Linked DNA regions of Mus musculus. The protein of the gene in region 1 interacts with the protein of each later gene in a pairwise test. Links are inferred from orthologs where the notes say so. Each region holds a gene or a part of one and is shown in the gene's direction. Other genes may lie near its edges.

Region 1 (6,788 bases):
TGCTTTCCACAAACAAACAAACAAACAAACAAACAAACAAACAATGTAGTTAAACCAATTCAGACATGTCATGAATTCATAATTATGGATGAAAAGACAGTCCCTATAGAGAGGGGACACATTTCAATTATTTGGGTAGAGGCATCTAGAGCTAGGGTGATCCTGAGGGAGAGCCAAGTTAGGTACCCCCCCCCCCACACACACACACAATGTAGAGATTGAACCTAGAACCTTGCTCTTGCCAGGCCTTTTAGTCCCAGTCTTTCAAGTTTTCTAAAACAAAAGCAAAAACAAAAAAATCTAAACAAGGTGGGGCTTGTTGATGCACGCCTTTATTCCCAGCACTGGGAGGCAGGGGCAAGTGGATCTATGTGGGTTTGAGGCCAGCCTGGTCTACAGAACAAGTATAGGACAGCCATGGCTCTTTACACAGAGAAACCCTATCTCGAAAAAACAAAACAAAACAACAACAATCCCAAACAAAAAACAAAATACGGACCCCCTCAAAACAACAACAACAACAACAACAACAACAACAACAACAACAACAACAACAACAAAAATCAACCCTCCAAAACTAAACCAGAAAACCCGCTCGTCACATGCATTCTGTAGGACTTTAGGCTAGAAATCTAAAGATGAGGCCCCTGGCCTGAAGGATTGTTTCCTAACCCCGTCTGCATAGTTTAGCCTTCCTACTGGGCTGAGCAAAAACGTGGGCCTGAGCCTCCTGTCAAGCTTCAGAGAGCGTCAGACAACTCCTCCTTTGTGTCATTCTACTAATGAGATCTGCTCTGATTCCCTTTCTGGCCCAGAGGCCCTAATCTCTCCTAGCAGGGGGCTGGGGATAGGGGACAGAGGGGAGGTCCCCTCCTGACAAGCAGTGACCCAGTGGTGAGCAGGGATTAGAGTGTGCGTGTGGCTGTGTGTGCCTGTGAGTGCACGGCCCGGTGTTTAGAGAAGCAGAACCAATTTGAGTGGGGAATGGGACTCGAAGTGATATTAATACCTAGAGAGATGAGGGGAGGGACAGAGGGGGAGGGAATTACTGAGGGGGAGAGAGAGATGGCAGGAAGATGTGTATGCGTGGAGTAGCAATGGAACCTTCATTTCAGCTCAAGGATTGCAGGAAGCAAGCAGAGGCTCTGAGACCAGGCTGTAGCCTCAGGCTTAGGTGGACAGGCAGAAGGGTCTCAAATCCAGGAAGGGACCCACAGACAGTGGCAGAACGACAAAGGAGGGAGACACAGAGGGAGACAATGAGAGAATGCAAACTTGCCTTACAAAGGGAACTAGGGACAGAGTCAGAGACAAGGTGAAGGGCTGGAGGGATGGCTCTGTGGTTAAGAGCACTGGGGCTCTCCAGGAGGACCAGGGCTCCATTCTCAATACTTAATGGTGGCTTATAACCTGTAATTCCCGGTCCAGGGCATCTGATGCCCTCTTCTGGTCTCTTCAGGCATCAGGCACTCACTGTGTGTGAACACGTGGGTGCAGGCACAATATCCATGTATGTATAATCAATAAACAAATCTAAACAAGAGAGACACAGAGAGAAAGAGTCAGACATACAGAGACACTCAGAGATAAAAAGACAGAGAGAAAGAGAGACAGGGAGGAAAAGAGCCAGAACCAGAGCTGCAGAGAGACAGCCAGAGACAGAGAGATAGCGGGAGACAGAGAGTAGAGGTAGAGTCCGACACAGATGGAGACTAACAGAGAGACAGAGAGACAGTGGGAGACAGAGAGTCTAACAGAGACACAGGCAGAGATTGACAGAGACATAGAAACTCAGGGAGAGGCATAGAGACAAAGACACAAAGAAACTCAGAGAGGCAGGGTCTGAAATAGTGATGAAGATAGAGAAGCAGAGACTAGAGGCAATGGAGAAGATACAGAGCAATGGGGAGACAGAGATATAGAGAGCCCTGAGGAAGTGAGGGAAGAAGGGAGAAAGACAGAGAGGCACAGAGAAAGAGAGAGAAACTGAGGCAGAAAAAGGGAGAACCATCAAGAACTACACATTTGAATTAGTTCACTCAGTGGGGTCACAGATCTCTCTTCCCAGTTATTCTAGCTGTGTCAGAAGACTTAAAAGTTCAATACTAGCCTGGGCCACAAAGAACAACCCAGGAAGTCCTGTGCCTTTCTTTTCTGTCTCCCAGGAGCACTGTACACTTCTTTCTGTGCTTTTGAAGACATTTCTTTTCAGATAGTAGCTGAAGCTGGAGGAATACCCTTTAGACCCAAGGAAAGACTTCCCTGAGAAGTGGGGGCTCCTGGTTGCAGGCAGGAGTTGGGCTTTCCCTCCCTTCTTCATCAACCCTAATTGCCAAGATGTCACTGTGGGGGTGGTGGGATTAAGCAGACGGTGCCCTTCCCCCAGCCAATGTCACCTCCTGTTGCCCAGTGAGTCCCCCACCTTCCCTGGGATTACCCTTCCAGATCCAGGCCACAATAGATGACATCACTCCCAGCCCAGGCTTAAAGTCGCCCCGTGTGAGGGGACCTATTTCCTCTAGCCTCTGCTGTCTGATGACACCATCCAGTACCTGAACATCCAGGAGAGTCCCCATTTCTCCTTTCCAAAGGTGAGTCTTTCCAGGAGAGGCTGCGAGAATATTTTATTCTCACCCATGTTTGACATGAAGATGGGTCTTGTGATGCTTTCTGAACAGATTAACATAGGGTAGAGATTCCAGCAGGTGTTCAGGGAAACAGGTCACTTAGGACCATGATAGGAGGGAGTAAAGTCATACCAGTTGGGGACTAGTTGTTGGGATCCAGGAGTGGCTTTAGGATGAATGGATTTTATACTCTGAGGACATTCAGAGGTGGAATGTCTCATCTAAGCACACATCCATGGTGTGTGAGCATGTTCATGTGTTTGTGTGTATGTATGTCTACAATGTGTGTGTGTGTCCATGTGAGAGAGCAACCTCGGAGGACAGAGATAGACATACTGGTTGTCTTCCTAAATACTTCCATTTGCTATTTTTTCCTAGACCTCTCTATGTAGACCAGGCTGGCCTTCATCTGATGGATCTTCCTGCCCCTGCCACCCAAGTACTTAAGGTTAAAGGTGTTCACCACCACACCCAGCCTATTTCAGACAAGGTCTTTCACTGAACCTGGATCTCCCTGTGGAGCAGAGGCTGGCTGGACAGTGAGCCCTGTGTATCTGTTTGTCCCTGTTCCCCCAATGCTGGGGTTATAGTGTGCCCAGCTTTTATCTGGGTGCTGGGGTTCTGAACTCAGATCCTCACGTATGCACAGACAGTGCTTTATCTGTTGAGTCTTCTCCCCATTCCCCCGAAAGAAACCTTTTACATTTAATTTATGTTTTTTGAGAGGGAGTCTTTTGGAGCATAGAGTGGTCTTGAACTTGTTCCGTAACAGAGGCTGGTCTTGAACTCCTGATCCCGTGTACTACTGCTCCCGCTTGTTTTTTTTTTTAACTCTTTGTGATTTTTCTTCTCTGTTTGTAAGGTATATATTCATTATATAAGTATACATGCATATATATTTAGTGTGTGTGTGTCTTCTGACTCCTTTGTTGAAGTCAGATGACAACTTGCTGGAGTCTGAGTCAGTTCTCTGCTTCCACCATGTTTGATTCTTAGGAATCAAACTCAGGGTTTTAGGCTTGGTGGCAAGTGTCTTTATGGTTGATCCCTCCTGTGGCCCCTGAGATTTCCTCTTCGTTTGTGTATATACCAATACATAGATCATCTCTCCCTGGAGAACGCTGGTTCTTTTCACTGCCTGGCACTTGGGTGCTATTTGACTGTTGACAGGATGGATCCCTGTCCTATTAGATTGTTTATTAGTTAAAACACGGGCTGGGGCTGTAGCTCAGTCAAAAGATAAGCGCTAACATGTTCTACACAGCTATTTGCTCACATACAAATGGGAAAAAAATTACACTTAACATTTTTCTCTTTTTTCAAAACTATTTATATTTTTATTCACTTTACATTTGGATCACAGCTCCTCTCCCTCCTGTCTTCCTCCTCACATATCCCTTCTCTCTTTTCTCCTCCCCCTTCTCCCTCAAGAAGGGGAGACTCCCTTGGATACCACCCCACTCTGGGACATTTCAGCAGTTCTAGGAACATCCTGACCCACTGAGCCTCATCCAGGGAGTCCAAACAGTGGGGAAGGGGATCCAATGGCAGGGAACAGAAACCGAGACAGCCCCTGTTCCACTTGATAGAAGAACCACACGAACACCAAGTTGCACATTTGCTACAGATGTGTGGGTCTAGGTCCAGCTCCTGCATTGAGCTGAACATTTTGAGGCCAATGTGGCTGCTAATTTCTGTTCAATGCCAGCTCAACATAGTAAACTGGAATTCTTTCTCTGAGGTCGAGAGCAGGGCTGATGGCTAATGTTTCTAAGGACGCAAGTTACAGACGTTGAGTTTTGAAGGAAAACACCAATATTACTGACATTTTTTTGTTTATTTTTTCCTCAATGGCTGAGGCAACTCTTGTAGTGTCTGTGGTCCAAAAAATTACAGAGACATGTAGCAGGACATAGTGGTATATGCCTTTAAATTCTAGCATTCGGAAGGTAGAGGCAGGCAGATCACTGTTGGTTTGAGGCCAGCCTGGCCTACAGAGTAATTTCTAGGCTAGCCAGGACTTCATAAACTTTATATCAAAGGGAAACCTTGTCTTTATAAAAATGTGGGAGTTGGCTGGCTCAGTGGTTAAGAGTACTGGCTGCTCTTCAGGGAGACCTGGATTCCCATTCCAAGCACCCACAGGGGGGCTCACAGCTGTTTGTAATTATGGTTCCAGGGCACCCAATACTGCTTTCTGGCTTCTTCTGATGGTACCAGGTGTGTTTGTGTTCATAGAAATACATGCAGACAAAACACTCATATACAAAAACACCAACACAAAGAGAGTAACAAAAAAAAAATCCCAGAAACAGCAAAGTTTGATATTACTGTTGCATCTGTCTGTCTATCTATCTATCTATCTATCTATCTATCTATCTATCTATCTATCTATCTATCTTTTAAAAAGATTTATTTATTTAATTTACTTTTATGGGTACACTGTAGCCGAACAGATGGGATTGAATTTTTAGGATCTCTGCTCCCCAGTTAACCCTGCTCTCTCTGGTCCAAAGATTTATTTATTATTATACATAACTACACTGTAGCTGTCTTCAGACATGTCAGAAGAAGGCATCAGATCTCATTACAGGTGGATGTGAGCCACCATGTGGTTGCTGGAATTTGAACTCAGAACCTTTGGAAGAGCAGTCAGTGCTCTTACCTGCTGAGCCATCTTGCCAACCCTGGTTTTTTTTGTTTTTTTGTTTGTTTTTTGAGACAGGGTTTCTCTGTGTAGTTCTGGCTGTCTGGCTGTCCTGGAACTCACACTGTAGACCATAGACCAGGCTGGCCTCGAAATTCACCTGCCTCTGCCTCCCAAGTGCTGGGATTAAAGGTGTGTGCCACCACGCCCGGCTCTGGTTTGGTCTTTTGAAACTGAGTTTCTCTGTGTAGCACTTGGCTGTCCTGGAACTCATTCTGCAGACCAGACTACTTCTGATCCTTCTACTTCCACCTCCAGAGTCCTGGGATTACAGGAGTGCGTCATGATGTTACTGTTTCTTCTTGTGTGTGTGTGTGATGTATGCATGTAAGTGTGCGTGTATTTTTGAATACGCCTGCATATGTAGAGGACAGAGGATAACATCAATGTTTTTTTTTTCTTTCCATTTTTTATTAGGTATTTAGCTCATTTACATTTCCAATGCTATACCAAAAGTCCCCCATACCCACCCACCCCCACTCCCCTACCCGCCCACTCCCCCTTTTTGGCCCTGGTGTTCCCCTGTTCTGGGGCATATAAAGTTTGTGTGTCCAATGGGCCTCTCTTTCCAGTGATGGCCGACTAGGCCATCTTTTGATACATATGCAGCTAGAGTCAAGAGCTCCGGGGTACTGGTTAGTTCATAATGTTGATCCACCTATAGGGTTGCAGATCCCTTTAGCTCCTTGGGTACTTTCTCTAGCTCCTCCATTGGGAGCCCTGTGATCCATCCATTAGCTGACTGTGGGCATCCACTTCTGTAACATCAATGTTTACCTCCATTCCCTCTGCCTTGTTGCTTTCAGACAAAGTCTCTCAGTGAACTAGGCACAGGACATTTTGACAAGGCTGGCTGCGTAGCTTGCTCTTGGGATCCACCCGTTTCTGCCCTTCCTAAGGCTGTAGTTACAGGCACACAAAGCCACGCCTGGCTTTTTACATGGTAGCTACAAATGTGGACTCAGGTCCTCATGCTTTTGCAGTAAGCACTCTTGTCCACTTAACCATTTCTTCTGTTCCCACCCCACCTTACTTTCTAGACAAGGTCCCATGTATCCCAGGGTAGCCTCTAACATCATAAGTAGCCTAGAATGTCATTGACCCTCCAAGCCTCCACCTTCTGAACTGTAGAATTACAGGTGTGTGCCACCATACCCAGTTTATGTGATGTTGGGGACTGAACAACAGGGGCTTTGCACATTCAAGGCAGGTACTGTACCTGCTAACCTGTACCCTGAGCCTCCTGTTGTCATTGTTGGATAGGGTCTGCTTACGAATCCCAGGTTGGCTTTGAATTTGAGTCAACCCTCTTGCCTCAGGCTCTGAGTGCTGGGGGGGGGGGGCAGATGTGAGCAAGCTTCCACACCCACATAGTGAGGGAGGAGGAGACAGAAGGGTATTAGCGAGGTGTGCTGCTTAGAGGTCAGAGAACAACGCGCAGGTGTCAGCTCTTT
Region 2 (4,746 bases), on another chromosome or scaffold:
CTGCAACATTGGTGGTAATAGTGTCTTCCTCATGGGACAGCTGGGAGGACTGAATGACATTCAGCAGGTTTTGAGCACAATTTGAAGACTCAGTATATACTGATAACAATTTCCTTCCCATCTCTGTCTCTGTCTCTCTTCGTGTTCATTAAGCAAATGCTATACTTCTGACATTGAGCCCGTGATCCTTTTGCCTCTGTCTTCCAAGTGATGGGACTCCAGGCAAGAGTCAACATGCTCCAGCAACCTTCCTCCTCCTCATTAGCAATATCCCTAGATGAATCATACTTTTTAGTTCCTGGCTAAGTACCTGCTGTGACCCTGTGCTTTGAGGTATCTGGCTGGCCAGCAGATTCTATTCTTCACAACTGGCAAGCATCAGACATATAAATTAGACGTCATACCATAGATTTACTCTGAAAATTAAAAAGGGAAATCCTGACCTTATCAGGACCCTGGAGCAGCCTCTCCATGGAGGAAACACGTGACCATCAGGGCCACATCCTAACCTGAGCTATGACTTAGGTTTCCCAGTGACTTCCATCACTGACCCTTCCCATCCTCTGGATCATTCCCAGTCTTCAGTTGTCCTTTCTAGACTGTCACTTCTGTCCCTCTCTGTGGCTGAACAGTGGCTTCTCTTCGTCCCAACTTCTCCTTCCTTCCCTCATCCTCAGGACAGACCCTGCTGCCATGCTCACCACCCAGTGCTAAGCACTTTCCTTTCTGAGGGATCAAACAAGTGGGACAACTGAGGTCTGCTGGTGGCAGCCATGACAGGCAACCTCCAATGGTGCTGAATAGAAGAGTTAAGGCCTCAGCCTCAGTGGTGGCTTATGCCTGTAATCCCAGTACTTGTAAAAGCTGAAGCAGAAGAACTGTTGCAAGATGAGGCTATGTTGGGCTACAAAATAAGACTTTTTCTAATTAACTAAATGAATGAATAAATGAATGAATGAATGAGCAAACAAACTAGCTGGGACCTCAGCATAGGCAGTGTGAGTCTTCCCATTACAGTTATCAATTGCCTATTGCTATATGACAACCAACCCTACAGGGTAGATTCTTTATAGTAGAGATGTAGCAATAAATATTTAAAGTTCACTCTAAGCTCCCAGTGGGTGCATGTGCAGAACTGCACATGCCCAAGAATTCTGGATTTGCAAATAAAAAGCATGGACTCACAACCTTTATATTTAATATGCCTTGATTAGCTCAATGGTTGGGCACCTCCCCAGGCTAGCACACACACCCCTCAGATACTCCTGAGTTAACATTTTCTAAATCTCTGTTTTATCTTTGCTGCCCTGTTTCTTTCTGGGCAGCCCTCCCATGGGGCCACTTTCCCTTTGCACCTACATTTTGGCCATTTCAGTCTCTCACTCCTTCGCAGGTGTCATGGTCTATCCTACATCCCTCTCATGGCAGACTCTTCTCCCACTACTGTTTCTTGCCCAGGTATCTTAAAAGTCCCACCTCTGTCCCCTGCCCAGCCATTGGCCACTGGCTCTTTATTGACCAGAAAACCAAATATTGGCAGGGACCCACAAAGGATGTATGGATTCCCATGTAAGCACAAATCTAATTTCCAATATAAACACAACGTTTCTGTGGGAGATTAAGAATGGCTTAACTGGGTGACTCCGACCTGGCATTTCCCATGGGGTTGACCAGGGTTGAAGTCACATTTGAGGTTGGTCTCCTTCATGGTGGTTCCCACGAACAAATGACATTAGTGTTGGCAGCTGGCAGAAGTCCTCAGTTTCTTGCCGCCTTACAACTTCTCCTCAGTGCTACCCGAGGTGGCTGCCTCCTCCCAGATGAATCTAAGAGGTAGAAGCAGCTACACTTTTCATGCTCCAGCCTCAGAAATCATATACTGTCACCACTTTGTAATATCCTCTTGGTTAGAAATGACTCACTCAATCCGTGTATGTTCAAAGGCAGAGCAACCAGATTCTACATTTAAAAGAAAGATAAGTCAAAAAATAGGTAGGTACATTTTCAAATGACCATTTTGGACCTTTGGGATGCCTTCTTCAGGGCTAGGTGAAGAGCCTGTCTCACTTCACCGTTCTACTTCTTTATTTCACACGTAGCAATCCCCTGCAACCTTCCTGGCTGGTGTTTCTACCTCATTCTGTCCCGTTCTTTGATCCCAAGGATGCTCTGAGGCTTCGGGTGAGAAAGGATACTCTGCCTCTAATTGTGGAGCCAGCTCTCTTAGGAATGCCGACTTCTTTCCTCTCTTCCAGCTACACATAGCTGGAGCCAATGGATATCTGCGAGCAGCCGAGCTCCTCCTGGACCATGGAGTGCGTGTGGATGTGAAGGACTGGGATGGCTGGGAGCCTCTGCATGCAGCAGCCTTCTGGGGACAGGTACTTCCCACCCACTGTACCTTGTCAGGCACAAGGTAAAACTGCTGATACTGAGTCCTTTGGGCTGGCATTTGGTGCAGGAGAGCTAGGACCCACTTAGCCACTGGGTACAATGAATGTGGGAGATGAGAAGACTGGGGTGGGTTGCAGACACAATGGCCAATTGCATCCTAACAGGATGAGAATCAAATCTGTCCAGTAGAAAACCCCCTTGGTGTCTGCTTTGCATGGTTTCTCTAGAGTGTTTCCCAGATGTGATTTCAGCCTGTGCAGCCATCCATCCATACCCAACAGCTGTGGAATTACAACCGACTCCTCCTGTTGCTTCTCCTCATAGTAACCCAGGGATGATGGGAGGAGGTGCCAAGCCCATCACTTCTGACAGGGCTCTCTCTTGGCTCCATGGCCCAGGGCCTTCCCTGGGGATCACCTTTCCTCCACCATTCTTTGGGTCACATTCTAAGAGGTCTTGGGCTTGCTCTCCAACTCTTAGGTTTCCTGAGTCCTGGGTATGGGGGACATGAACTTCTTCTTGTGTTGCAGATGCCAATGGCAGAGCTGCTGGTGTCCCATGGAGCTAGTCTCAGTGCCAGGACATCCATGGATGAGATGCCAATAGGTAAGGCAGCTTCATACTTAGTACATACATACTTACCAGTTCTTTTGATGGTGAGTGGACATTGGTTGAACATGTGGCTGCATAGATAGGTAGGTAGGTAGACAAATACATACATGCATGCATACATGCATACATACATACATACATAGATGGATGCATAGTTTAGACAGGAAATGTGATGTGGGATATATTGATGGATGTGTAGGCGGATGGATACATAAGTAGACAGGCAGACTGGGGATGAGTCAATGGATGGATGACCAGGTTAGCCAGTAGATGGATAGAGGGGTTCAGTGGATTGACTGGTGAACCCCTCTACTCAGTGGGGATTTCTCAGCATTACTTCATTTCCTGCCTGTGGAATCTGCTTGTTTCTCTCAATGCTCAGATCAGGGAGACTTGCTAACTCTCCCAGAGACTATCAAGGGTATGTGTCCTCGTTAGCTTTTGTGTGGCTGTGATAAAACACTGACCAAAAGCAACTTGGGAAGGAAAGGGTTCATTTGGCTTACGAGTCCTTATCACAGTTCATCACTGAGGAAACTCAAGGCAGGACTGATGGCCATGGGAGGAGTCTGCTTACTGACTTGCTCCTATGGCTTGCCCCCCCCCAGACCCCCTGCACCACTTTGTTATACAACCCAGGCCCAATTCTCCAAGGGTGGCATGGCTCACAGCAGACGGCCCCTCCCAGATCAATCCTTAATCAAGAAAATGCCCCCATAGACTTGCTCAAAGGGCACTCTACTAGAGACAGTTCCTCAATTGAGATTCCCTCTTTCCAGATATGCTCAGGTTTGTGTTGACAAAACCTACCATCTGAGCCTCTCAGTCTTAGCCGGGAACTTCAGGAGTTAGGAGCTCAAGTCTCTCATTTTCACATCCCTCAAAGGCAATAAGCAGGGGTTGCTTTCCTTGTTCCGTCTGTGCCCCCAGAAGGTTCTCAGAGCTTCTGGTGGGTTTGCATGGGTGGCCCCTGTGGTCCAGAGTCCCTATCCTGCCTTCTGCAACTGATTCTTGTATTCCCTCAGACCTGTGTGAGGAGGAGGAATTCAAGGTCCTGCTGTTGGAGCTGAAACACAAGCATGATGTGATCATGAAGTCGCAGCTGAGGCACAAGTCGTCCCTGAGCCGGAGGACATCCAGCGCGGGCAGCCGTGGGTGAGTGGTACAGGCAGCTGGGGCCCCTGTACATGCCTGCCCATGGCTCCTGATCACAGCTACCTAGCACCTCCTTTGTCCTCCTCAGGAAGGTGGTGCGTCGAGCCAGCCTGTCAGACAGAACCAACCTATACCGGAAAGAATATGAGGGCGAGGCCATCTTGTGGCAGCAGCGGAGTGCAGCTGAGGACCAGCGGACTTCAACCTACAATGGAGACATCAGGGAGACCAGGACAGACCAGGAGAACAAGGACCCGGTGAGGGACCTCCTGCCCTGCCTCAGTGTTGGCCACTGACTTGGGAAGAGAACAGGGCCCAGCTTGGTCCTACCTCCTCACCTGGGGAGCTCAGAAAAGAAATAGCTGGGCGATGCCCTTAAGCAGCTGGCTCCTGTCTGGTGGCTAATGTTAATGTTAAGAATGTGACCCGTGGGTACATTAGTTAGAACTGACACCTTTTCACATGCGATGGCTTCATAAGTGGCAGAGACAGAGACTGCCCTCAGCCTGCCTGTCCCCAAGTAGATCTGGTTTTGAGTTCTCCAGAAGAGAGTCTTGGCAGATTAGTTCCCCTAGGAGCTAAGGG
Region 3 (4,746 bases), on another chromosome or scaffold:
TAAAGAATATAAATAAAAATATTATTTGTACTATGAATGTGAGCACTTGATAAATTCTAATGAAATATGTGATCAATGTTGTGTTAATAAGATGTAAGCAACTTGCTGAAGCTAACAAGCTTTTCTGTCAAATGATGGTTTTGAAGGGAGGAGGTGGATGCTGGGAATTACGTCAGGGACTTGTAAATGTTAGGCAAATGGTATACTCCCTCACTCTACCCCTTGATCCCCATTTGTAATATTTATATTTTAGTCTTGTTCCTTCTTTGTAGTATTTAAATAATATTAGATTATACTAATATGTTTTTTAAAAATATAACAAGACTATTCTCTGCTGTTTCTTTGTTTTTTGTTTTTATTGTTTGTTTTTTGAGATAGGGTCCCTCCACATAGTCCTGGCTGTCTTTGAACTCTCTATGTAGAGCAGGCAAGCTGGCCTCAAACTTAAAAGATCTATCTGCCTCAGCCTCTTAAGTGCTGGAATTAAAGTCATTTACCACCATGCCTGGCTTCTTATTTTATTTATATTAATTTATTTATTTTTCTTTTCTGTTGAAAATGATCACTCTGGCTTGGAGAAATGATTCAGTTGCTCCAGTCTTTGCTGCACATCCATAAGGCCTTGAGTTCTGTCCCCAAGCCCATGGAAAAAGATGGGTGTAGTGTGCACTTGGAATCTTCATGCCAGGCGGCAGAAACAAACAGGTGCCTGGGACTAGGTGGTCAGCCAGCTCAGACACATTAGTAAGACCTGTGTCCTAGTGGGAGACTCAAATAAACAAGGGAGGCAGCTTATGGAAAATGATACTCAAAGTGGACCTCTGGTTTCCATATGCACAAGCATGTATATACATATGTACACCCCTTCCATGTGAACACACACACTAGCACCTATATGTGTGTACATATTTGTATAGGTATTTGTGCAGACATGTACACATGCACATTCTAAGTTCTGCTCTTGTGGGCTGTAAAAATCAGGTGATGTTCCAGGTTATATTTGAAGGCATGCTTTGGTGACCCTTGCATTAGGTTAAAAATGAATAAAGACAATAGTCTAGAGAAAAGGTGGTTTATGAAATGAATACGAAGGATTGTTGAATCTCTAGGCATTTGGTTATTATTTATTTGGATACCAGGGCTATCTGTCTTTGTGTTGTCTTATTTATATTATATCTTACAGACAGTTGATATTCATAAAGAGAAGGTTGCAAGAAGAGAAATTGGTATTTTGACCACCAATAAAAACACTTCAAGGACCCATAAGATTATTGCGCCAGCCAACCTTGAGCGGCCAGTTCGTTATATTCGAAAACCTATTGACTACACAATTTTAGATGACATTGGACATGGAGTGAAGGTAGGTGTAGTTTCTGTCAAGCTTTCTAAAGCTCTAATGGAACCCTAGGAAATTAAAGTTCATTTAATTGCCTGAAGGACCAACTCTTGGCACAGTTGTGGTTGTGAAGGTTGCTTACTATTGTTGTGTCCTCCTTATGTTTTCTTTACTGTTACCTTTCAAACCAGTTATCTTCTAATGGTATTTGCTTAGTTAATCACTAGATCAATTAGCGTATGGTATAGTGGTTCTAATCTTTTAATGATTTAGTAATGATAGGAAAAAAATCCAGCATATTATTAAAATGTTTTTCTTATCTCAAAAATATGTCAGCAGATTTTTGGCATTAGTTTTCAGAACAGCATATGTTACTAAATATGAATTTGAATTTTTTTCTAGAATAATTTTATCTCAACCTTTTGGATGAGAATAGTGGAGCTAAAAATTGTAAATTTATTTGTGGTGACTTTAAATTTATAACATTTTATATTTTGGTCACCTTTTAAAGATGCATTTGTGTATCTAGTATGTATATGAAGTGGCATCATCAAAGCTCTATAGTATTGGGGATGTGGGGCAGTAGTAGAGCAGGAGCTTTCTCACACACAGCCCCGCGCTCTAGCACTGCGAGTCAGCACACCTGCTAGCTGTTAGGGGGCAGGGGGGACAGTGTTCTTCTACTGAGGTGATTCTTACAGTTAAGAGACCATTCAGAGCTTCAGCTAAGTACATTATTTACAGTTTATATTTTAGTAGTGATTGTCAAATTTACATAAGTATGACTTGCAATAATTCTATACCTATCTTATAGCTATATAATTCATATATATGATATTTTTCTAATATAAGCCTATTTAAAATGTACACCACCATTTTGGTCAGAAATCAGTAAGTTTGTGTGAAAATAAAACATGCAGTATAAATTTATAAAACAACTTTTATTTTAGAGGGCTTTTGATTTTTTTTTTTTATTTTTTTAGATAGATTCTCACTCTTTTGGCCTTGGCTGGCCTGGAACTCATTGTGTAGGGCAGGCTGGCCTTGAACTCACAGAGATCAGCCTGCCTCTGCCTCCAGAGTGCTGAGTTTAAAGGTGTGTACCTCTATACCCCACTTATTGAGAGTTTTGAAAAAGCATAATTATCTGGAACTTGATATTTAATTTTATAGTTGATTCCTATATATGTATTTCAATGACTAATTAAAGCATATTAAAATAAGATATGTGAGTAGATGGATAATTAAACTGTAATTTGTTTTAACCTGGGGAAACAAGTTTGTTGTTGAAGACGTACAGGTGCTAATAGAATGTTATAGGCTGCTACCAGAATCTGTTGCCAAATGATACTTGGAATATAGATTTGTGTTTGCCTGTTTATATAATAAAAAGGTGATTTTTTTTGTATAATTAGTTTTTAATACTTAAAATATTTTTCTTTTAGGATTGTACTCTCTGTTGTTTGTACTGTAGTGTTCGCTAATTTAAAGAACTCTTTAACGGAATTAAAGTTTTGAATAAAACAGTCTTATATCATCAACGAAACTTCTGTCCATGACACATCTGCTTTAACCACTCTTTCTATAATCTACTGAAACATTATTTTGTTAATGCTGATTGCTTAACTTGTTTTTCTTTGTTTTCTTTTTTTTGTCTTCACATCCTGAAGTTCCAACTAACCTTTCAATGCTTTTCTTCCTTACCTCTTTATTTGCTCCATTTATGCATTAAGTGGTTGCTTAGATTTAAGGTAAGAGATTCCAGGGCTGGATTTCCATTCTATGTTCTTATGTAGAATATTACATATGGGGAGTAAAGACATATTTTCCATTTGGCCTTTTAAAACCAACAAATTAGTTATTTATTTATTCAGGTCTGACGACTTTATTGTGTGTCTTCATGTTTCCTGAGGGTAGATATTTTTGTACATTTTGTTCATTACCCTGTTCTTTGTGCCTAGAACAGTACCAAATACACATTAGGTATTAGTATCTCAAGTATTTGCTGAATGGATGGGTGCTTTTGTGAAACTGAATTATAAATTGTATTGTTATAAAGTGTTAATAAGATGAAATTGCTAGATTTTTTTATAAATGTTGAAATTTTGTTATTGATTGGAGGGCCAACTAATATGCTCTATTTAACCCTCCCCCTGTGTAATAACTTTTTATTCTATAAATGGTGTGCTTAATTATATGGTTTGTTGACAGTATGTCATTATCTTTTGACTTCTAATTTAAAAGTTGAGAAGCAAAAAAATATGTCATAATGCCTTTTTTAAGTTGCAGTACATTTTAGAAAGGAATTAGTCTTTTTAAAATGTTTGTATAAAATATACTTCAATACAATCTCACCGTCTTTTTAAAAGTGAATATTATTTGTATATAGAACATCCAAAGTTTATGATAATGCTTAAGAAATACAAATTAAGAACTAGAGAGGAGGTCACAGTGCTAGAACACTTGCCTAGAATGTACAAGACCCTGGTTCAGTAGAAACCAGTAAACCTACCAAATAGAAATCCCACACAACCAAAATAAACCTGGTGCTGTTTAGTGAAGGGGCCATGATGAAAGCATTTCGGGTGGTTCAGGAAGCCTGTCAGATACTAAGAGGATTTTCATCAGTTCTTGCCATTTCTTCTTTCTTTTGTTTTTTATCAAGTCAGGGTCTCTTTGCTGTCCTGGAACTTTTTCTGTCTAGAGACCATGCTCAGCTTCAGAGCCCCACCTGCCTCCGCCTCCTGTGTGCTGGACTAAAGGCCTGTGTCCTGCTGCCCAGCAGCCCATCTCTTCTTCCTTAGACAAGTTGTCTGATTTCTTTTCAAATATGTATTTGCTTTGCAGTTTGCTATATCTTTGGTGTAGTCAGTGATAATCAGGAGATAAGATGACTGTATTACTTAGTATTAACCATGGCCACAAAACTTTTGCCTGATCATGGCAGGTGGTTCTGAAAAAGGAAATAAAGCCACTGGAAAATAGGTTCTAAGCTCTTACCTTGCTGGTAACCCAGGAATTTGGAATTGTGGGAAGGTTTCTTCTGTTTAAAACGGCCAAATTACAGTGAACTAGACTAAAAAAAAAGCAGGCAGTATTCAAATTTAGTTCTTGCTCTGTTAACCTAAAATGTGGTGACAGAAGAAATCGATCCTTTGCTCTTACTGGCTAGCCTGTTGTCCGCCATCTCCCATGCTTCTTTGCTCTAGGATTTGCGGTGTCTCTCCCTTGACTTGAAAGTCTGCTTCACATAAGAGAAAGGTCCCCTGAGGGCTGCCTAAAAGATCTCACAGGAACTATGCTGGAAGAAGATGCCTCAATGTTTTGTTGGTTTTGTTTGTTTGTTTGTTTGTTTTCCTCTTAGAACCAGAAAGTTTCACAGTAGAATCCCAACAGATTGTACTACTCTA

What was found. The genes of interacting proteins can lie anywhere in the genome.
Region 2: the proteins of Crx (region 1) and Ppp1r16b interact in binary tests that used the Homo sapiens proteins (3 or more experiments, as listed by UniProt). The two-hybrid records come from large-scale screens. The link is inferred for Mus musculus from reciprocal best matches to the Homo sapiens genes CRX and PPP1R16B.
Region 3: the proteins of Crx (region 1) and Abi2 interact in binary tests that used the Homo sapiens proteins (3 or more experiments, as listed by UniProt). The link is inferred for Mus musculus from reciprocal best matches to the Homo sapiens genes CRX and ABI2.

What each region holds. Positions count from the first base shown.
Region 1 is NC_000073.6:15,875,619-15,882,406, reverse strand, and holds the start of Crx (cone-rod homeobox protein), read left to right. Parts: upstream 1-2,451; 5' UTR 2,452-2,591; intron 2,592-6,788. UniProt on the Homo sapiens protein: Transcription factor that binds and transactivates the sequence 5'-TAATC[CA]-3' which is found upstream of several photoreceptor-specific genes, including the opsin genes.
Region 2 is NC_000068.7:158,752,889-158,757,634, forward strand, and holds part of Ppp1r16b (protein phosphatase 1 regulatory inhibitor subunit 16B), read left to right. Parts: intron 1-2,255; coding exon 2,256-2,381; intron 2,382-2,924; coding exon 2,925-3,000; intron 3,001-4,031; coding exon 4,032-4,161; intron 4,162-4,249; coding exon 4,250-4,418; intron 4,419-4,746. UniProt on the Homo sapiens protein: Regulator of protein phosphatase 1 (PP1) that acts as a positive regulator of pulmonary endothelial cell (EC) barrier function. Involved in the regulation of the PI3K/AKT signaling pathway, angiogenesis and endothelial cell proliferation.
Region 3 is NC_000067.6:60,435,873-60,440,618, forward strand, and holds part of Abi2 (abl interactor 2), read left to right. Parts: intron 1-1,183; coding exon 1,184-1,360; intron 1,361-3,069; coding exon 3,070-3,087; intron 3,088-4,746. UniProt on the Homo sapiens protein: Regulator of actin cytoskeleton dynamics underlying cell motility and adhesion. Functions as a component of the WAVE complex, which activates actin nucleating machinery Arp2/3 to drive lamellipodia formation.